Linked DNA regions of Anolis sagrei. The protein of the gene in region 3 purifies or fractionates together with the protein of the main gene of each other region. This does not show direct contact. Links are inferred from orthologs where the notes say so. Each region holds a gene or a part of one and is shown on either strand. Other genes may lie near its edges.

The links.
Region 1: the proteins of HSCB (region 3) and SDHAF1 purify together in Homo sapiens (co-immunoprecipitation; 3 studies listed by BioGRID and IntAct, with this or other methods). This does not show direct contact. The link is inferred for Anolis sagrei from reciprocal best matches to the Homo sapiens genes HSCB and SDHAF1.
Region 2: the proteins of HSCB (region 3) and ISCU purify together in Homo sapiens (affinity purification with western blotting; 3 studies listed by BioGRID and IntAct, with this or other methods). This does not show direct contact. The link is inferred for Anolis sagrei from reciprocal best matches to the Homo sapiens genes HSCB and ISCU.

Annotation. Positions count from the first base shown.
Region 1 is NC_090035.1:77,676,148-77,683,326, forward strand, and holds the start of SDHAF1 (succinate dehydrogenase assembly factor 1, mitochondrial), read right to left. Parts: upstream 3,105-7,179; 5' UTR 2,994-3,104; intron 1,530-2,993; 5' UTR 1,480-1,529; coding exon 1,225-1,479; 3' UTR 1-1,224.
Region 2 is NC_090034.1:29,967,754-29,974,904, reverse strand, and holds the start of ISCU (iron-sulfur cluster assembly enzyme ISCU), read left to right. Parts: upstream 1-4,084; 5' UTR 4,085-4,116; coding exon 4,117-4,221; intron 4,222-7,151. Other genes in the region: SART3 (squamous cell carcinoma antigen recognized by T-cells 3), read right to left, coding at 1,966-2,106.
Region 3 is NC_090034.1:60,325,941-60,333,492, reverse strand, and holds the start of HSCB (iron-sulfur cluster co-chaperone protein HscB), read left to right. Parts: upstream 1-4,466; 5' UTR 4,467-4,489; coding exon 4,490-4,722; intron 4,723-7,552. Other genes in the region: CHEK2 (serine/threonine-protein kinase Chk2), read right to left, coding at 2,846-2,958, 3,181-3,388.

The DNA.
Region 1 (7,179 bases), on a different chromosome or scaffold from region 3:
AATAATAACAATAATAATAATATGTCCGACGTGTGATCTAATACAACAACCAGCAGAGTGATCTTGTTTGTTGTATACTAATCTTGTTGTGTTTCAAATAATAATAATAATAATAATAATAATAATAATAATGGAATCAGAAGGTTAAATAAACCCAGAAACAGGGCTAACATTGGAAACATAAAATGTGCATTGGCCAATGTAATTTCTATTTTTTATTGGCTTCTCTATTATTATTATTATTATTATCATTATTATTATCATTATTATTATTATTATTATTATTATTATTATTATTATTATTATTTTAGAAACACAACAAGATGAGTCCACAGCAGACACTCTGCTGGCTATTGTATTGGATCACACGTTGGACACTTCCCAAGTGTCTAGGAATTATTATTATTATTATTATTATTATTATTATGCAAAAGGATGCATTCATGGAACTGGTTTAAAGCAGCTTAACATCTACACTGCAGACTGAATGCAGTTTAACACCTTTTTAACTGCCACGGCAAGGCAATGAAAGCCCTGGGAGTTGCAGTTTTACAAAGAATGCAAACTACAGATCAAATTATTTCTATAGCAGCTAACGTGGTACCAAACGTCATTCATTCTACAGTGTAGAGATGCATCCAAGGTCTGCTCGGGGTTCTCTTATGACCTTGGAAGGATTAAAGAAACGGAACCAAATCATTGTTTCTCCACGAGATTCTGCAGATAGTAAGGTGCCAGTTATTCCTCCATTCAGTTAACTGAAAAACACAAAGTCAGCGGACCTGATGGGATCCCTGTTGAAATCTTTAAAGGTGGTAGACCTGAGCTGACACAACACCTCCAGCAGCTCAATCATTGTTTCTTCACGGGTTCTGCAGATAGCGAGTTGCCAGTTATTCCTCCATTCAATCATCTGAAAAATAACAAAGTCAACGGACCTGATGGGATCCCTGTTGAGATCTTTAAAGGTGGTGGACCTGAGCCTTCACAACAACTCCAGCAGCTCAAACATTGTTTCTTCATGGGTTCTGCAGAGAGCGAGTTGCCCGTTATTCCTCCATTCAATCACCTGAAAAATAACAAAGTCAGCGGACCTGATGGGATCCCTGTTGAAATCTTTAAAGGTGGTGGACCTGAGCTGACACAACAACTCCAGCAGCTCATTAAAAAAGTGTGGACGATCGAGAAAATCCCAGCAGGCTTCATCATCACCCGTCTCTGGTGTCATCTGTCTCCCTCCTCCCTGGTTTTGACGAAGGCCCCCATCTGCTTGGTATGGGTGTTCTGGAGCTGCTCCAGCTGCCTCTGTCCACGGCGGAGAAGGTACTCTACGAGCAGGACCTCTGTCCGTGGGATCTGTGCGTTCTGCCGGAACTCGGCTCGGATCTGCGGCAGGAAGCCCGGCTTGCCTTTCCCGGCCCGAAGGAAGCTGCGGTACAAGGACAGCACCTGCCTCTGGAGCTTACTGTGGCGGCCCATGGAGCAGCTCCTCCCAGTTGCAAGGATGGAGTGCTCCAGGTAAGCAAAGCCTGAGGAACAAAGACAAAGTGTCAGGATAAGAGTGAGGGGAATTAAATAGGCCAACCTGTATGTGTCGTTCTACTTTTAATACGTTTTGGAGATCTCAAATTGCATTGTTGTTAGGTTCTTGTGGGTCTTTTCGGGCTATAGAGCCATGTTCTAGAGGCATTTCTCCTGACGTTTCGCCTGCATCTATGGCAAGCATCGTCAGAGGTTGTGAGGTCTGTTGGAAGTAGGAAAAATGGGTTATATATCTGTGGAATGGCTGGGGTGGGGCAAGGAGCTCTTCCCTGCTGCAGTTAGGTGTGAATGTTTAGCTGATCACCTTCATTAGCATTTGAAGGCCTGCCTGAGCCTGGGAAAATCCGTTGCTGGGAGGTGCTAAACAACAGAGAGGAAAAAACCAGGCACAGATTAACACCTCCCAGCAACGGATTTTCCCAGGCTCAGGCAGGCCTTCAAATGCTAATGAAGGTGATCAGCTAAACATTCACACCTAACTGCAGTAGGAAAGAGCTCCTTGCCCCACCCCAGCCATTCCACAGATATATAACCCATTTTTCCTACTTCCAACAGACCTCACAACCTCTGAGGATGCTTGCCATAGATGCAGGCGAAACGTCAGGAGAGAATGCCTCTAGAACATGCCTCTATAGCCCGAAAAAAACCCACAAGAACCTAGTGATTCCAGCCATGAAAGCCTTCGACAATGCATTGTTGTTGTTTTTAATGTTGCGAATCACTTTGTATCTCCAATAATAATATAATAGCCCTTTTATTATTTGAATATCCGCCCTACAATAAGTAATAGCAGCCCTATAATAACAATAGAAGCTCTTTCATTATTTTAATAGCAGCCCTATAATAATAATAATAATAATAACAATAAGTCTCTTTATTATTTTAATAGCAACCCAATAATAGTAATAATAATATAATAGCCCTTTTATTAATTGAATACCAGTCCTACAATAATAATAAGTAGTATTAGCATCTCTGTAATAATAATAGAAGCTCTTTTATCACTTTAATTTTAATAGCAGCCTAATAATAATAATAATCCTTTTATGTTAATACCAGCCTAATAATAATAATAACTCTTTTATTATGTTAATACTAGCCTAAGAATAATAATTAGTAGCCCTCCTATTATTTTAATAGAGGCCTAATAATAATAACTTTTATTATGCTAATACTAGCCTAATAATACTAATTAGTAGCCCTTCTACTATTTTAATAGCAGCCTAATAATAATAATAATAATAGCCCAGGGATGTAGTAAATCCATATTGGCTGGCCTTCAGGATTTAGGGGGAAAGGGGTCAAGGGCAGGTCCATCATGCAACCTCATGGCAACCCCACCAGTCCCAGAGCTGGTCCTGCCCGTCCCTTCTCTTTGCCGGACTCCCACCCAGGCTGGCCCCCTTTGGGACCCCCTCCTGCCCTTCCCACCGGGCTCCCTTCTCGCTCACTCCTTCTCTCTTCCGGATTTCAGCTCCTAGGCAGGCCCAAGCCCGCCATTGCAGAAACCTTGGCGCGCCATCTGAGCCTCCTGCGCGCTTCCCATTGGCTCCCTGGCCCTAGAGGGGGCGTTCCCCAACTCTTGTCGCTCCGCCCATTCAAAGCACGTGTAGGCTTGGAGGCCCCGCCTATTTGGAATCATAGAATCCTAGAGTTGGAAGAGTCCAATCCCATTCTGCCAAGAAGCAGGACAATTGGGTTGTTGTAGGTTTTTCCGGGCTATATGGCCATGTTCTAGAGGCATTTTCTCCTGACATTTCGCCTGCATCTATGGCAAGCATCCTCAGAGGTGTATTGGAAGTAGGAAAATGGGTTTATATATCTGTGAAAAGACCAGGGTGGGACAAAGGACTCTTGTCTGCTGGAGCTAGGTGTGAATGTTTCAACTGACCACCTTGATTAGCATTTGATTGCCTGGCAGTGCCTGGAGCAAACTTTGTGTTGAGAGGTGATTAGCAGGACAATTGCGTTCAAAGCACCCCCGACAGATGGCCATCCAGCCTCTGTTTCAAAGCCTCCACCACACTCCGGGGCAGAGAGTTCCACTGCTGAACAGCTCTCAGAGTCAGGAGGTGATTAGCAGGACAATTGCGTTCAAAGCACCCCCGACAGATGGCCATCCAGCCTCTGTTTCAAAGCCTCCACCACACTCCGGGGCAGAGAGTTCCACTGTTGAACAGCTCTCACAAAGTTCTTCCTAATGTTCAGGTGGAATCTCCTTTCGTGTAGTTTGAAGACATTGTTCCATTGTGTCCTAGCCTCCAGGGCCTCCCTCCTCCCTATGACTTCCTCTCACATCTTGATCCATGGCCCTCATCATGTCTCCTTTCAGCCTTCTCTTCTGAAGTCTAAACATGCCCAGCTCTCTTTAAGCCGCTCCTCATAGGGCTTGTTCTCCAGATCCGTGACCATTTGAGTCACCCTCCTCTGGACACATTCCAGCTTGTCAACATCTCTCTTGAATTGTGGTGCCCAGAATTGGACACAATATTCCAGGTGTGGTCTAACCAAAGCGGAATCGAGCATGGGGAGCAGGACTTCCCTGGATCTAGACACTATGCTCCTCTTGATGCAGGCCAACATCCCATTGGCTTTTTTTGCCACTACATCACATTGTTGGCTCATAAGGCATTGAAGGCATTGTTCCATTGCATCCTAGTCTCTGTTGTTCATTCTTTCATTCGTCTCCGACTCTTCGTGACCTCATGGACCAGCCCACGCCAGAGCTCCCTGTCGGCCGTCACCACCCCCAGCTCCCTCAAGGTCAGTCCAGTCACTTCAAGGTCTCTAGGGCAGTAGAAAACAAGCTTGCTCCCTCCTCCCTATGACTTCGCCTCATATCCAGCCTCTGTTTCAAAGCCTCCACCACACTCCGGGGCAGAGAGTTCCACTGCTGAACAACTCTCAGAGTCAGGAAGTTCTTCCTCATGTTCAGGTGGAATCTCCTTTCCTCTATTTTGAAGCCATTGTTCCATTGTGTCCTAGTCTCCAGGGAAACAGAAAACAAGCTTGCTCCCTCCTCCCTATGACTTCCCCTCACATATTTATACATGGCCCTCATCATGTCTCCTCTCAGCCTTCTCTTCTTCAGGCATTTTGGGTGAACTGCCTAATAATTTCACAAACCCCGATGACATCTAGGCATTTGATAATGCAACAATGTTAACAGTTCTAATCACAGAGGAGGAGGGTTTTTGGTGGGAGGATTCCACCAAATGATTTTAGTCGCTCTCCTCTGGACACATTCCAGCTTTGTCAACATCTCCCTTCAATTGTGGTGTCCAGAATTGGATGCAGTGTGATTCCAGGCAGAATAGAGCATGACTTCCCTGGTTCTGGACACTCGACTCCTATTGACGCAGGCCAAAATCTGTCTTCTCCTGCACAGAAACCCTGAGGGCACCTAGACGGTCCTAACAATGGGTTGTTGTAGATTTTTTCGGCCTCTATGGCCATGTTCTAGAGGCATTCTCTCCTGACATTTCGCCTGCATCTATGGCAAGCATCCTCAGAGGTAGTGAGGACTGTTGGAACTAGGAAAATTGGGTTTATATATCTGTGGAAAGACCAGAGTGGGACAAAGAACTCTTGTCTGCTGGAGCTGGGTGTGAATGTCTCAACTGACCACCTTGATTAGCATTTGATGGCCTGGCAGTGCCTGGAGCAATCTTTTGTTGAGAGGTGATTAATGTTCCTGATTGTTTCCTCTCTGTTGTTTTGCTGTTTTAATTTTAGAGTTTTTTTAATACTGGTAGCCAGATTTTGTTCATTTCCATGGTTTCCTCCATTCTGTTGAAATTGTCCACATACTTGTGGAATTCAATGGTTTCTCTGTGTAGCCTGACATGGTGGTTGTGAGAGTGGTCCTCACAATATTGCTGGACATAGGAGATTGGCTTTACATAATGTGATAGGCTTTATGGCTCCTAAACTATAGAATTAATGCAGTTTGAACTACCTTGGCTTTTTAAGTTGGCTTTTAAGATAATTTCAGGGGGTCCTGGGGTAATAATAATAATAATAATAATAATGAACAACTTTGGGTTGCTGTGAGTTTTCCAGGCTGCCTAGCCATGTTCCAGAAGCATTCTCTCCTGACCTTTCGCCCAGTTCTACGGCAGGCATCCTCAAAAGTTGTGAGGTCTGTCGGAAACTACAACTCCCATCATTCCATAGCTTTGAGCCAAGGCAGTTCCAAATGGGATCATAGAAGACCTAGAGCATGAAAGGACCCACAAAAGCCACCTTTCTGCCAGGCAGGAAGATACCATCTGATCCCTCCTAGCAGATGGCCATCCAGCCTCTGCTTAAAAACCTCCAGAGGGCAATCCAACACACTCCCAGGCAACAGCATATTCTAGCATGCATACATACATACAGTGGGGGGGGGGGAGTATTTAGTTAGATAGGAATTGTACAAGTTCTCCCACTTAAAAAGATGAGATATTGTCTCTCATAGTTGAGGTCTACCTAAGATGTCAATCACAGGCCTCTCTCATATTTTTAAGTGGGAGAACTTGTACAATTCCTATCTGACTAAATACTTTTTCCCCCACTGTACACACACACACATATCTAAAAGGTAAAGGTTTCCCTTTGCTGTTAAGTCCAGTCATGTCCGACTCTAGGGGTTGGTGTTCATCTCCATTTCTAAGTCGAAGAGCCAGCATTGTCCACAGTCACCTCCAAGGTCATGTGGCCAGCATGACTATCTGGAGGTCCTGTTACCTTCCCGCAGAAGTGGCATCTATTGATCTACTCACATCTGCATGTATACGAACCCACACAATATCTTTGTTCATCTGGAGAGGCCCTGCTCTTGATCCCGCCAGCATCGCAGGCGCGATTGGTGGGGATGAGAGGGCCTTTTCGGTGGTGGCCCCTCGACTCTGGAACTCACTCCCTAAGGACATCAGACAGGCCCCAACTCTGGCAGTTTTCAGGAGGAGTTTGAAGACGTGGTTGTTCCAGTGTGCCTTCCCGGATTAATGATCCCATAGCACTTTGTCCCGCTAAAGCACTTTACATTTTTTAGGTCTGCCCATATGTCTCTCCACAAACACCACTATCACCTGTTCGTCCATGTTCAGCACTATTTACAATTTTAATTTTACATTTGGCCTTCCCATAGTTTTAATTGTATGTTGTCTTATTGATAATGTTATATGTTTATGTTTTATTTTAATTGCTTATATTGTTGTGATTATTGCTTGTATTGTGTGTTCGGGCTCGGCCTCATGTAAGCTGCACTGAGTCCCTTGGGGAGATGGTAGTGTTGTTAAATAAAGTGTTGATATTATTATTATGTTTTCATACTGCTAGGTTGGCAGAAGCTGGGGCAACAGTGGGAGCTCACCCGCTCCCTGGATTCGGACCGTCGGCCTTTTGGTCAGCAAGTTCCACAACTCAGTGGTTTAACCAAAACCTTTGGATGGCATAGGGAAGGGTTTACATGCCTGTGGTGTTTGTTTTGCTATCTGTGCCCTTCAGCTTTCACTGCCTGAACATCAAACAAAAAGTGGGTGCTAGAAACAATATCATACAAAAGCTGACTGGCACAACCTGGAGATCACAGCCAGACACAGTGAAGACATCTCCCCTTTGCTACTCTGCTGCTGAGTACGCATGCCCAGAGTG
Region 2 (7,151 bases), about 30 Mb from region 3:
TTTAGTGATGAAGCCCATTTTCATTTGTGTGGATCCATCAACAAACAAAACATGCGCTACTGGGCTGACAACAATCCTCGAGAATTGCATCAAAAGCCTTTGCATTCACCTAAAATCACAGTGTGGTGTGCAATTTCCTCAGCTGGAATTATTGGTCCCTGGTTCTTTGAGGAAAATGAAATTGCAGTGACAGTTAATTCGGACTGGTATGTAAACATGTTACAGGAATTTTTTTCCTAAGGCTAGATGGGTTGGATTTAGGGGACATTTGGTTCCAACAAGACGGTGCAACTGAACACAATTCAAAAGCATCTATGGCTGTTTTGAGGGAACACTTCCCAGAGCGCCTCATCTCAATTAGGGGGGATTTGGAGGGGCTGGCCCGCTCTCCAGATTTGGCCCCTTGTGATTTTTTTTCTATGGAGTTTTTTGAAATCCCGTGTTTATGTGAACCCTCCAAGGACCCTACAAGATTTGAAGACCAACATCCAGGAAGAAATTGCCAACATAACGCCTGCTATGCTGGCAAGAGTCATGACAAATGCTAGAAATCAGTTTACTCAGTGTATGGAGAATGGGGGACATCACCTACCTAATTTGATCTTCAAAACTACGTAAAACAAAACTTTAGGTATGCACCTACATTATAAAAAAATTCTGATTCATACAATGGGTTTTATTAAGTTTTGAAAAAAGGAAGTTATGGTGCTTCACCCTGTATATCTGTGAAATAATGTCCAAGGTGGGAGAAAGAACTCTTGACTGTTTGAGGCAAGTGTGAATGTTGCCACTTGCCAGCTTGATTAGCATTGAATAGCAGTTTCAAATCCTGGCAGCTTCCTGCCTGGTTGGGAGGTGTTTGCTGACCCTGATTGCTTCCTTTCTGGATTTCCCCTGTTTATTAGAGTTGTTCTTTATTTACTGTCCTGATTTCAGAGTGTTTTAATACTTGTATCCTGATTTTGTTCATATTCATGGTTTCTTTCTTTCTGTTGAAATTGTTCACGTGCTTCTTGTGGATTTCAATGGCTTCTCTATGTAGTCTAACACAGAGATAGTGGAGGTATTGTGGGGTAAAAATGCAGTAAATAAAATAATATATATATACACACACAATGTATATAATTACATTATGTATTTATATACATTATGTATATATATATATATTATTTATAGATATTTATATACATATTATTATACTTACATTGGTGATAGTATGATAGCTGGGTCCAGAAGCTCCGAGCGTTACGCACATTCCGCAATGGCGGTTGTGAATAAGGGAAGGGGAGATCGGCACACTGAGGGTGGGACTATACTTCGTAGTTACATTTGGTGGAAGGATAGAATGGAGGGGAAGGTTAGGATAAGGTAAGGGTTAGGAATAGGGTTTGGGGTCAGGTAAGGATTAGGATTAGGGTTAAGGTAAGGTTTAGGGTTTGGGTTAGGGTAAGGTTTAGGGTTCGAGTAAATAAATAAATAAATAAATACCATTAAAGAACTCTTACATGCCTTCTATAATATTTGTGTTCCGTTTTGCGTTGCGCAAACAGCGCTCCCGAAGGAGCAAAGCGGAAACAGTGTAACACTCTGAGCTTCCAGACCCAGCCTTCATACTATTCCCCTTACATTTATATTATATAGATAACATGTATAATTATATTATTTTTATATTATTTTATATATTATATTAATATTGTAAAATATAAGGCTATTAAGGTTATCCATTAAATGTATATATTATTTATATATGATTATTAGTTATATTTTAATATCATTATTCATACTATTATATCTCTGATCTCTAGATTGAGGCATATTTTTTTAAAAAACCATGACATTGAAAACCTGCATCAAACAGAAGGAGGCATTGGAAGTTGGATGCAATGCAAGCCATGCTTCCTCAGGGGGCGTGGTCTCCCATCGCGAAGCCCCGCCCCGCGCGAAGCCCCGCTCCGGGGCCCTCACCTGCTCTTCCAAGCGCTGAATTTCAGCCTGGTTCTCCTTTTCCTCGTCGGCCTCCGAGGAGTCTTCGGACTCCAGTTCCTCGTCCCCTTCCGAGCCTCCTGCGGCCCACAACGACGCCTCAGCTTCGCCGCCGTCCGCCATCTTTCTCCGCCGTTAAGCCCTTTCAGCTGTCTAATCCACTGCCTGACGGGAAATGACGCGACTGTTTTGGCCGCCTGCATCTTTCCAGCAAGCGGTCCGTTAGACGCCTCTGCTTGGGGGCTTGAAGGAAGGTCAAACTATGTCCTTTCCGGAAGCACGGCTTAGGATGCCGGGGCGGCCATCAAGAGTGTGTCAGTTTCCTTGTCCTTCAATGGCAGCCTATGCTTGCTGGCCCTTGAAAGAAGCATAGTAACAATAAAAATATGCCAATATTAATCAAATAAGAAGAAGAATTCTTCCAACTCTCAACAAGGATGGGATCGATTTTAATCTTTCCATGTTGCGGATTTTAAATTGTACTTTAATGTGATTTTATTATTAATATCATTCCAATAATAATAATAATAATATGACGTGTGATCCAATATATCAGCCAGCAGAGTGATCTTGTCTGCTGTGGACTCATCTTGTTATGTTTCAAAGATCGATGCTTTTGAGCTGTGGTGTTGGAGGAAAGTGCTGAGAGTGCCTTGGACTGCGAGAAGATCCAACCAGTCCATCCTCCAGGAAATAAAGCCCAACTGCTCACTGGAGGGAAAGATACTAGAGACAAAGTTGAAGTACTTTGGTCACATCATGAGGAGACAGGAAAGCCTAGAGAAGACAATTATGCTGGGGAAAGTGGAAGGCAAAAGGAAGAGGGGCCGACCAAGGGCAAGATGGATGGATGGCATCCTTGAAGTGACTGGACTGACCTTAAGGGAGCTGGGGGTGGTAACGGCCGACAGGGAGCTCTGGCGTAGGCTGGTCCATGAGGTCACGAAGAGTCGGAGACGACTGAACGAATGAACATTAGTATTATCATTATTGGAATATTAATATTTATTATCACATTAAAGATTCTTAATTGTAATTTAATGTGATATTATTATTAATAATGCAATAATAATAATAGTACAATAATATTGGAATAATACTGTTATTATTATTGGAATATTATTATTAATATATTATTCAAATTAATATTACTAATAATATTAATAATGATAATTCCATTAATAATAATTCCAAGTCCCAGCAAACACACGATGAATGTTAATCTTTGTATGTTGTGAACTTTAAACTTTATTTTCATGTGATATGCTTGCTGGGGCTTGGAATCATTATTAGAATCATAATAATATTGGAAAAATTTTATATTTATTTATTTATTTATTTATTTGATGCATTTATTAACCGCCATTCTCAGCCCTTTAGGGCGACTCATGGCGGTGTACAACACATATAAAAAGGCAATTTACAAAGAGGCAATTACAACAACATATTAACAATACAACAATTACAAAAATTACACTAAAAATCCGCTTCGTCTCATAGTGGAATCATAACCAATCTCATATTCCTTGTTCCTTTCCAGTCGTCTTTACCACATTTTTATAGCACTTAATTAAATGCCTTCTCGAACAGCCATGTCTTAAGGCTTTTTCGGAAGGACATAAGGGAGGGCGCCTGTCTGATGTCTGCAGGGAGAGTCATTCTTTAGAGTCATTCATTATAGTCATTCTTAGAATGATAATATCACATTAAAATACAATTTAAAATCCGCAACATACAAAGATTATTATTATTCAAATAACATTATTAATAATCTATTATTATCCCAATAAAATTAATATATTGGAATAATATTATTAATAATATAACATTAAAGTACAGTTCAAAATCCACAACATACAAAGATTAACCTCGACCCTGTACTTGGTGGGACTTGGAATTATTGTTATTGGAATAATAATATTGGAAGTTTGAGAAAAGAACCTCTGGAAGGTAAAGGCTTAACTCCTGACCGCGTTTCCCCCCCCCCCCCCCCCTTTTGCTGGGCTTAGCGAAGGGAGTGACGACACAAGGAGGCGTGACCTATGGCGCCCTTGCGGCTCTTCCCCTGGCGGCCACGCCCCCGGGGGCCACGCCCCCGTTGCCCTCCACTGTCCTCTGTTCAAAACATTCAAGATGGCGGCGCTTCGGGCAAGCAGCGTGCGCAGCGCGGCGGCAGCCCTTCTGCGGCCTCGCCCGGGCCCGGCCTCCACCTCCCTGGTCGCGGGCTACCACGAGAAGGTGAGCCCGAGGCTTCCTCCGCTTCTAGGCCCAAAAGAAAGCTCGGCCTCGCTGGCCTTTGGAAGCCCCTTCTTGGCATTTGGGACTTCGAGTCCCAGAAGCCTCGGCTGCCTTGGCCTGTGGCCGAGCATTCTGGGAGCAGCAGTCCCAAGCACTTTGGAGGCCGGGGAAACTAGTTAGGGTCAGGAAAGATATTGGACACATCTTGTAGGATATTTGTGCGCATGCGCCGCTCAGAGCCTTCTTTGGGAGAGAAGAAAAGGGATAGTAATAATGCTAGTGATGATAATCATAATAATTATGATAACAATCATAATAATATAATAATAATGGTAATACTACTGGTTATGATAATGGTAATAAATACTAATCATAAGAATGATAATATTGATGATAAAAATTATAGTAATAATACTGATGATGATATTGCTAATAATACTGATGATAATGGTAATAATAATGATAATTGTACTACTACTGATGATAATAATGGTAATCCTGATGATGATAATGTAATACTGATTATGAAGATGATAAGTATAATGGTAATAATACTGGTGGTAATAATGTTAATGGTACTAATACTGACGATAATAGTAATGGTAATAATAGTGTTTGTTGTTGTTGTTATTTGTTCAATCACTTCCGACTCTTTGTGAACTCAAGCTCCCTGTCGGCCGTGGCCACCCCCAGCTCCTTCAAAGTTAAGCCAGTCACTTCAAGGATAACATCCATCCATCTTGCCCTTCGTTGGCCCCTTCCATTTTTCCCAGCATGATTGTCTTCTCCACGTTTTCCTGTCCTTTCATGATGTGGCCAAAGGACTTCATCTTTGCCTCTAATATCCTTCCCTCCAGTGAGCAGTCGGGCTTTATTTCCTGGACTACGGACTGGTTTGATCTTCTCACGGTCCAAGCCACTCTCAGAATTTTCCTCCAACACCACAGTTCAAAAGCATCTATCTTCCTTCACTCAGCCTTCCTTATGGTCAACCTCTCACATCCATATAATGCAATTGCTTTAACTATGCGGATCTTTGTGGCTAGTGTGATGTCTCTACTCTTCACTATTTATTGAGATTGATCATTGCTCTCCTCCCAAGAAGTAAATGTCTTCTGATTTCCTGGCTGCAGCCTGCATCTGCAGTAATCTTCGTGCCTAGAAATACAAAGTCTGTCACTGTCTCCACATTTTCTCCCTCTATTTGCCAGTTATCAATCAGTCTGGTGGCCATAATCTTGGTTTTTTTATGTTTAACTGCAACCCAGTTTTTGCACTGATGATGATGGTAATAATAATGATAATGGTACTAATGCTGACAGCAATAATAATGGTAATAATACTGATAATGATAATGAAAATGTTACTAATACTGACTATGATGATGATGATGATGATAATATTGATGATGGTAATAATGATAATGGTTCTAATGCTGATGATTATGTTAATGATAATAGTTCCTAATTGCATCTAGATTGAGCCCATAGACTGCGATGAGGACAGTTCCTCTTCCACTTGCTGAAATATATTACTAATATCCCTAATAAATAATAGCCAGGCCTCTTTTTCGGGGCTGCCCATGTGGAAGGGAAGCCCTAACTGGTAGGGCAGCACCAGGTTGGTTTGGCTTGAAAGTAATAGGCCCAAGTGGATCCTTGGAATGACTGTGGTGGGCCTTCATGTGGCACAACCATGAACCTGGGACCCCAGGTCTCAGCGGTGGCCGGGGGAGCATTCGCACAATTATAACCTGTGCGCCAGCTGTGCCCATATCTTGGGAGGTCTGACTTGGCCACGGTAGTTCACGTTCTGGTTATTTATTATTTACATTATTTCTATCCCGCCCATTTCAGCCTGAAGGCGATTCAGGGCGGTATACACAGTCGGCACAATTCGATGCCGAAACAAAATACATACATTGATAAAGCAAAAACATCAAGTGGAATTAAACATAAACGACAGTGCATAATAAACAATTTAAAAAGAGACTATGTCCTGTCATTCAAATCTTCATCGATTACATTGTCTTGGCCGTTCCTGGGTCAATTTCCAACTCTAGTTTGTCTGTTTACTCCGGGGTTCCGAATGCTTGCTCGGAGAGCCAAGTTTTTACTCTTTTTCGGAAAGTCAGGAGGAAGGGGGCTGATCTAATATCCCTAGGGAGGGAGTTCCACAGCCGGGGGGCCACCACAGAGAATGCCCTGTCTCTCGTCCCCGCCAGACGTGCTTGCGAAGCAGGCGGGATCGAGAGCAGGGCCTCCCCAGACTATCTTAAGTTCCTGGGGGGTTCGTAGGGAGAGATGCATTCAGATAGATAGACTGGGCCAGAACCATTTAGGGCTTTATAGGCTAAAGCCAGCACTTTGAATTGAGCCCGGTAGCAGACTGGCAGTGAGTGGAGCTGATTCAACAGAGGAGTTGTATGCTCCCTGAGCCCCGCTCCTGTTAGCAACCTGGCTACCGCACGCTGGACCATTTGAGGCTTCCGGGCCGTCTTCAAAGGCAACCCCACGTAGAGCGCATTGCAGTAATCTATACGGGATGTAACCAGAGCGTGGACCACCGTAGCCAAGTCAGACTTCCCAAGGTACGGGTGCAGCTGGCGCAAAAGTTTTAATTGTGCAAATGCTCCCCTGGTCACTGCCGAAACCTGGACATCCAGGCTCAGCGATGAATCCAGGATCACACCCAAGCTGCGAACCTGCGTCTTCAGGGGGAGTGTAACCCCGTCTAACACAGGCTGTAACCCTATGCCCTGTTCGGCCTTTCGACTGACCAGGAGTACCTCTGTCTTGTCTGGATTCAATCTCAATTTTTTAGCCCTCATCCAGTCCGACACAGCGGCCAAGCACCGGGTCAGGACCTGAACAGCCTCCTTAGTAGCAGGTGGAAAGGAGTGACAGAGTTGGACATCATCTGCATACAGA
Region 3 (7,552 bases):
CTGATGATCGTGCCATTACCACTCAAGCAGGGAGCTTTGAGATGGTAGAACAGAAGCTCTTCGAAGCTCTAGGTGCCCTTACTGCCTATTACACGGAAAACCAGCTGATCCCTAACCCATCTAAAACACAGACATGTGCTTTTCATCTCCAGAACAGAGAAGCATCCCGAGCTCTGAAGATCACCTGGGAAGGAATCCCACTGGAGCATTGCAGCGCACCCAAATACATGGGAGTCACTCTGGACCATGCTCTGACCTACAAGACGCACTGCCTGAACATCAAGCAAAAAGTGGGCGCTAGAAACAATATCATACGAAAGCTGACTGGCACAACCTGGGGATCACAACCAGACACAGTGAAGACATCAGCCCTTGCACTATGCTACTCTGCTGCTGAGTATGCATGCCCAGTGTGGAAAACATCTCACCACTCTAAAGCAGTAGATGCGGCCTTAATGAAACATGCCGCCTTATCACGGGGTGTCTGCGCCCTACACCACTGGAGAAATTACACTGTTTAGCCGGTATTGCACCACCTGACATCTGCCGGGAAGTAGCAGCCAATAGTGAAAGGACCAAGGCAGAGACATCTCCAGCTCATCCCTTGTTTGGGTATCAGCCAGCACATCAATGACTTAAATCAAGAAATAGTTTTCTAAGATCTACAGAGACACTCGCTGGAACACCTCAGCAAACGAGAGTCCAAAAGTGGCAGGCTCAAACCCAGAACCTCAATCAATGGCTGATACCGAATGAGAGACTCCCCTCTGGGCACACAGAAAACTGGGCGACTTGGAAGGCTCTGAACAGACTGCGCTCTGGCACCACGAGATGCAGAGCCAACCTCAAGAAATGGGGCTACAAAGTGGAATCCACGACATGCGAGTGTGGAGAAGAGCAAACCACTGACCACCTGCTGCAATGCAACCTGAGCCCTGCCACATGCACACTGGAGGACCTCCTTGCAGCAACACCAGAAGCACTCCAAGTGGCCAGGTACTGGTCAAAGGACATTTAATAGAATACCAAGCTTGCAAACTCTGTTTTATCTGTTTGTTAAAAATTTGTTAAAATTGTAATCCAATTGTCTGGTTGATACTGACACGATAAATACCTGCCCAGAAATCAGTAGGCAGAGAGAGAGTTTCTGCAAGTGAAACAAACAGTAGAAGAAGAGAAACACGCACTGGCAGGTTATGTGAAAGCCAACATTGAGGGAAGACAGTAGTAGTAAACTGCATCAAGTGCAAAACACAAAGAGTGAATACCGTAAAAACAAAATCCAGAGCAGAAGAGAAAACTGGCAAAAGAAGGCTCTCCATGGACAGTTCCTGGGAAAAACTGAGAGCAAAATTGACAAAGAAGAAACATGGATGTGGCTCACAAGTGGAACTTTGAAAAAGAGACAAAGGGCCTGATTCTGGCAGCCCAAGAACAAGCCATTAGAACCAATGCCATCAAAAATTGAAAAGTCGACGGAGATCCCAAGTGTAGACGCTGCAAGGAAGCAGATGAAACAATAGATCCTCAGCTGCTACAAGAAGATCACGCACACGGACTACAAGCAGAGGCACAACACAGTTGCTCAGATGATTAATTGAAACTTGTGCCACAAATACCATCTGCCTGCGACAAATACCCAATAAACAATAATAATATTAACTTTATTAACTTTATTTATACCCCACAAAATCTCCCGAAGGACTCGATGCGGCTTACAAAGGCCAAGGCCGCCGACAACAACAACATACAATACACAATAAAACTCATAAGCAAATAATAAGCATCAAGCAAAACAATAAAACAGTAAAAAGATGACACCATGACGCAATTAAAACCTAAAGGCTGGGCCAAATGTAATAGACAAAATTTAAAAGTGCTGAACTTGACAGGTAATATGTAGAGGTATTTGGAGGTATGTGCAATGTGCAGATAACCCTGAATCTCTAACAAAGTGCATTTGGGACTTGATGCCGGGAGTTTCCTATTCTGGAAAGGCACACTGGAACAGCCAGGTCTTCAGGCTCTTCCTGAAGACTGCCATTGTTGGGGCTTGTCTGATGTCCCTGGGGAGAGAGTTCCAGAGTCGGGGGGCCACCACAGAGAAGACCCTGTCCCTCGTCCCCACCAGACGCGCTTGCGACGCAGGTGGGATCGTGAGCAGGGCCTCTCCAGATGATCGGAGGGAGCGTGCGGGTTCATAAACAGAGATGCGGTCACGCAGGTAGGCAGGTCCCAGACCGTTTAGGGCTTTGTAGGTAAGCACCTGCACCTTGAATTGGGTTCGGTAGGTAAACGGCAGCCAATGGAGCTCCTTAAATAGGAGGGTTGACCTCTCTCTGTTAGGAGCACCAGTTAACATCCTGGCTGCCGCCCGCTGGACCAGCTGAAATTTCCGAGCCGTTTTCAAGGGCAGCCCCATGTAGAGCGCATTACAGTAGTCCAATCTAGAGGTGACCAAGGCATGGACCACCCCAGCCAGATCAGCCTTTACGAGGTATGGTCGCAGTTGGCGCACGAGTCTCAATTGTGAAAAGGCCCTCCCGGACACCGCCTACGCCTGAGCCTCAAACGTAAGCGATGAATCCAAGAGGACTCCCAAACTGCGGACCTGTGACTTCAGGGGGAGTGTAACCCCAACACAGGCTGCCACCCTATACCCCAATCCGGTTTTCGATCGACCAGGAGGACCTTTGTCTTGACGGGATTAATCTTCAGCGTGGAAAATTATATAATAATAATAATATAAATATAATACTATACTAATAAATAAATATAATAAAATAATAAAATAAATATAATACTACAATAATAATAATAATAATTGTATATGATAAATAAATACCCGGATGACCCGGAAATGCTTCTTGCTGGTCTGTTGGTACAACTCTGACAATCTCTGGAAAACATAATCACAGTTCGGGTCCCGCCCAAAGCTGTATTCCGCATTCACGCAGTCTGCAAAGAGAGAACATTTGCATATCCAACTGCTCCATTTGCATATTTAAAAGAAAACAAGGCAAGTGTTTCCAAGTATATTATATATAGAGAATAAATATTAAATATAATGAAGAAATATCATGAATATAAATATAATAATATAAATAATAAAATACAATACTATTATAATGTGTAGTAATAATAATAGCAATGATATGAATGAGAGCGAGCCCTACTAACCGAGGTTGTGGAAGCCCGGGGAGAGGCCGAAGAGCCTTCCCCAGGCCTTGAGGCCTTGTCCGTTTCCTTCTCCTATTTCTCCTTCTTCTGGAATGGAGGGCAGCGGTTCCTGAGTGGGAAGCGTGTCTACAGAGCTCACCGTCGCCGAACTCGAGGAGCCCGAAGTGGACGAACTGGGGCCTTCCTCGGCCTTTACCTCGTGCGACATCTTCGGAGAATGAAGCACGGCCAGGGTTCCCGCTTATTTTTTATACCGGCACGTGACATGGCCCGCCTCAGCCAATCACAGCCCAAGTGAGGGCTTCCTGCAATGGCAGCCCATCCCTGAGAGGACCAATCAGTGATGGCTCTTACTGTCTTATTAAATCACTATTCGCTGTTTCCTTTAAACATGCGCAAAAAAGAATCTTTCCAAAGTTCGACCTGGAACTGGCTCTCTGAGGAGAATACTGCGCATGCGTCTGGTGTGCCGGAGGCGAATAAGTGAATCGCGCGCATGCGCAGAACAGTAGTTAAGTAAAATGTTGCAAAGCTGTAACTGGTTCTGAGAAAACGGCGCATGCGTTTATATGAACGGAGGCGAATAAGAGATTGGAGCGCATGCGCAGAACTGCAGAGTTCGCTCTGAGCGAACAGTACGCATGCGTGGACATCTAACAGAGGCCAAGAATCATAGAATCAAAGAGTTGGAAGAGACCTCATGGGCCATCCAGTCCAACCCCCTGCCAAGAAGCAGGAATATCGCATTCAAATCACCCCTGACAGATGGCCATCCAGCCTTTGTTTAAAAGCTTCCAAAGAAGGAGCCTCCACCACATTCCGGGGCAGAGAGTTCCACTGCTGAACGGCTCTCACAGTCAGGAAGTTCTTCCTCATGTTCAGATGGAATCTCCTCTCTTGTAGTTTGAAGCCATTGTTCCGCGTCCTAGTCTCCAAGGAAATAGAAAACAAGCTTGCTCCCTCCTCCCTGTGGCTTCCTCTCACATATTTATACATGGCTATCATATCTCCTCTCAGCCTTCTCTTCTTCAGGCTAAACATGCCCAGCTCCTTAAACCGCTCCTCATAGGGCTTGTTCTGCAGACCTTTAATCAAGAGATGGTTGACGCGAAAGCGCATGCGTTAATGTGTAACTGAAGTAAAGCCACCTGCACTCCTTATATTTTTATCGGCTTTATACAAACTTATGCAATGCTTTTGATACGAAATAAGGCACTAAATGGTGCGCATGCGCAGATCTGCGACTGAGGCTCATCAGAAACTGGTGCGCATGCGCAGACGTGTAACGGCCCTGAGGGCGACACCACGCATGCGCTCACCCCAAAAGGTCATTTCCCCCCGTCGTAAAGTCCTAGCGATGTGGTTGGGCGCGCTCCGGCGGGGCCTGAGGCCTTGGAGGGCGCTCTCGACGCGGGCCTGGCTCTCATGCTGGAGCTGCGGGCTCTCCCTGCCTCCCTCCGGCGCCCCGTGTCGCTTCTGCCCGTCCTGCCGCGCCCTGCAGCCCCCAGAACCCCAGCAGGACCTCTTCAGCGTCATGGGATGGTGAGGAAACGCCGAAACACGCCAAAAACTCCTATTCTCACGTTTCGCGGGAAATGGGAAGCGAGGACACGGATCTGGGCCGGTCCGAGCATGCGCAGTGTAGAAGGGATGCGTCGCTAAGGGCAACGCTCTAACCTCTCGAACCATCCAATGGGGGATGTCCCATTGGCAAGGGGCGTGGCCACGTGTCTCTTCTTTCCAAAGGGGCGTGGCGAGTGTCACTTTTCCTTTGTTAACCATATTCCTATGCTAAGGAGGGGGGCGTGGCTTTTAGAAGAAGGGGCTTATTTATCATGTCATCAGCAACCAGACCATTGTATTACATTTCTAACAGAACAAAACAAACAGATAAAAAAATAACACAGATCTTGCAAGCTTGGTAGTTGGTTAAATGTCCTTTGACCAGTATCTGGCCACTTGGAGTGCCTCTGGTGTTGCTGCAAGAAGGTCTTCCATTGTGCATGTGGCAGGGCTCTGGTTGCATTGCAGCAGGTGGTCAGTGGTTTGCTCCTCTCCGCACTCGCATGTTGTGGATTCCACTTTGTAACCCCATTTCTTAAGATTGGCTCTGCATCTCGTGGTGCCAGAGCGCAGTCTGTTCAGCTCCTTCCAAGTTGCCCAGTCCTCTGTGTGCCAAGGAGGGAGTCTCTCATCTCATATTATTATTATTATTATTATTATTATTAACATCTCCCGCAGGACTCGATGCGGCTTACAAAGGCCAAGGCCTCAACACAACAACAGCAAAACAGTAACAATACAATTTAAAGCAAATTAAAACATAAGCAATAACAAAACAATACATCAATTACGCAATAAAAACCAGGGCCGGGCCAGTGATGGGTACAGGTTAAAAAGTGCTGGGTGTGGCAGGAGGTATGTTGGATTTCCGGGCAAGTGCAATGTGCAGAGAGTCTTAAACTCTAATAAAGTGCTTCTGGGACGTAGTGCTGGAGGTTATCCTATTCCGGAAAGGCACATCAGAATAGCCAGGTCTTCAGGCTCTTCCTAAAGATTGCCAACATTGGGGCTTGTCTGATGTCCTTGGGGAGAGAGTTCCAGAGTCGGAGGGCCACCACAGAGAAGGCCCTGTCCCTCGTCACCACCAAATGCGCTTGCGACGCAGGTGGGATCGTAAGCAGGGCCTCTCCAGATGAACGAAGGGATCGCGTGGGTTCATACACGGAGATGCGGTCACGCAGGTAGGCAGGTCCCAAACCGTTTAGGGCTTGGTAGGTAAGCACCTGCACCTTGAATTGGGTTCGGTAGGTAAACGGCAGCCAATGGAGCTCCTTAAACAGAAGGGTTGACCTCTCTCTGTAAGGAGCGCCAGTTGACATCCTGGCCACCGCCCATTGAACCAGTTGGAATTTCCGAGCCGTTTTCAAGGGCAGCCCGACATAGAGCGCATTACAGTAATCCAATCTAGAGGTGACCAAGGCATGGACCACCCCAGCCAAATCAATCCATATGACCCATGGATTGAGGTGCTGGGCTTGAGCCTGCTACTTTTGGACCCTCGCTTGCTGAGGTGTTCCAGTAAGTGTCTCTGTAGATCTAAGAAAACTATTTTTTGATTTAAGTCGTTGATGTGCTGGCTGATACCCAAACAAGGGGTAAGCTGGAGATGTCACTGCCTTGGTCCTTTCACTATTTGTTGCTACTTCCTGGCGGATGTCAGGTGGTGCAATACCGGCTAAGCAGTGTAATTTCTTCAGTGGTGTAGGGCGCAGACACCCTGTGATAATGCGGCATGTCTCATTAAGAGCCACATCCACTGTTTTAGTGTGGTGAGATGTGTTCCACACTGGGCATGCATACTCAGCAGCAGAGTAGCATAGCGCAAGGGCAGATGTCTTCACTGTGTCTGGTTGTGATCCCCAGGTTGTGCCAGTCAGCTTTCATATATATTGTTTCTAGCGTCCACTTTTTGCTTGATGTTTAGGCAGTGCTTCTTGTAGGTCAGAGCACGGTCCAAAGTGACTCCCAGGTATTTGGGTGCGCTGCAATGCTCCAGTGGGATTCCTTCCCAGGTAATCCCCAGAGCTCGGGATGCTTGTGTTGTGTGTTATCAGCTAAAGGACGTGGTCTGTGACCAGGCGTGAGAACACTCGGAGGGCTTTCTCCACTGATAGTAGTTCTAGCGCTTTGATATGATTTTCCTGTTCCCGTGGGGACAAGTGTCTATGGATCATGACCCTTGCAGGTGGGCGCCCCAACCCCAGCAGAACGCAGCTGTTGTCAGTTATAGTGATGGCCGAGGGACCATCCCTGAGCAAACATTGGATCTCTTTGTCCACCTGGGCAGGGTCTGGAGCACCGATTGTGGTGGTTCCAGTACATGTTCTGTTGGTCAAGGAGCAGGTTGAACACTCGGAGGAACCTGGTTTGCAGATGCCGTAGCCTTAGTCGCGTGAACCTGGTGACAGTGGTGGTAGAGGCCGTGTGGCCCAAGATGCATGGCTCGTGGTGTGGAATTTGTTGATAATGGCCCACAGGTTGTGGAGCCGTTCCTCCAGGAGGTAGGACTTCTGTGTTGTGGAGTCTATAACAGCTCCGATGTTTGGGAGACGGATAGGACTTCTCTCAGTCAGCCACAAGGCCCAGAGCCAGCAGGAGAGACAAAGTGTATTGAATGTCAGACTGTAATTGCTCATGAGAGACAGGTGACTGTCATCAAAGTATGGGAAAATTATGACCTCTTGCTGTCGCAGGTAGGCTGCCACCATGGCCATGCATTTGGTAAATACTCGGGGCACATGGAGAGACCAAACAGGAGCATGTTGAACAAATAAAAATGGTGATCAACTGCAAAACTAAGAAACTTGTG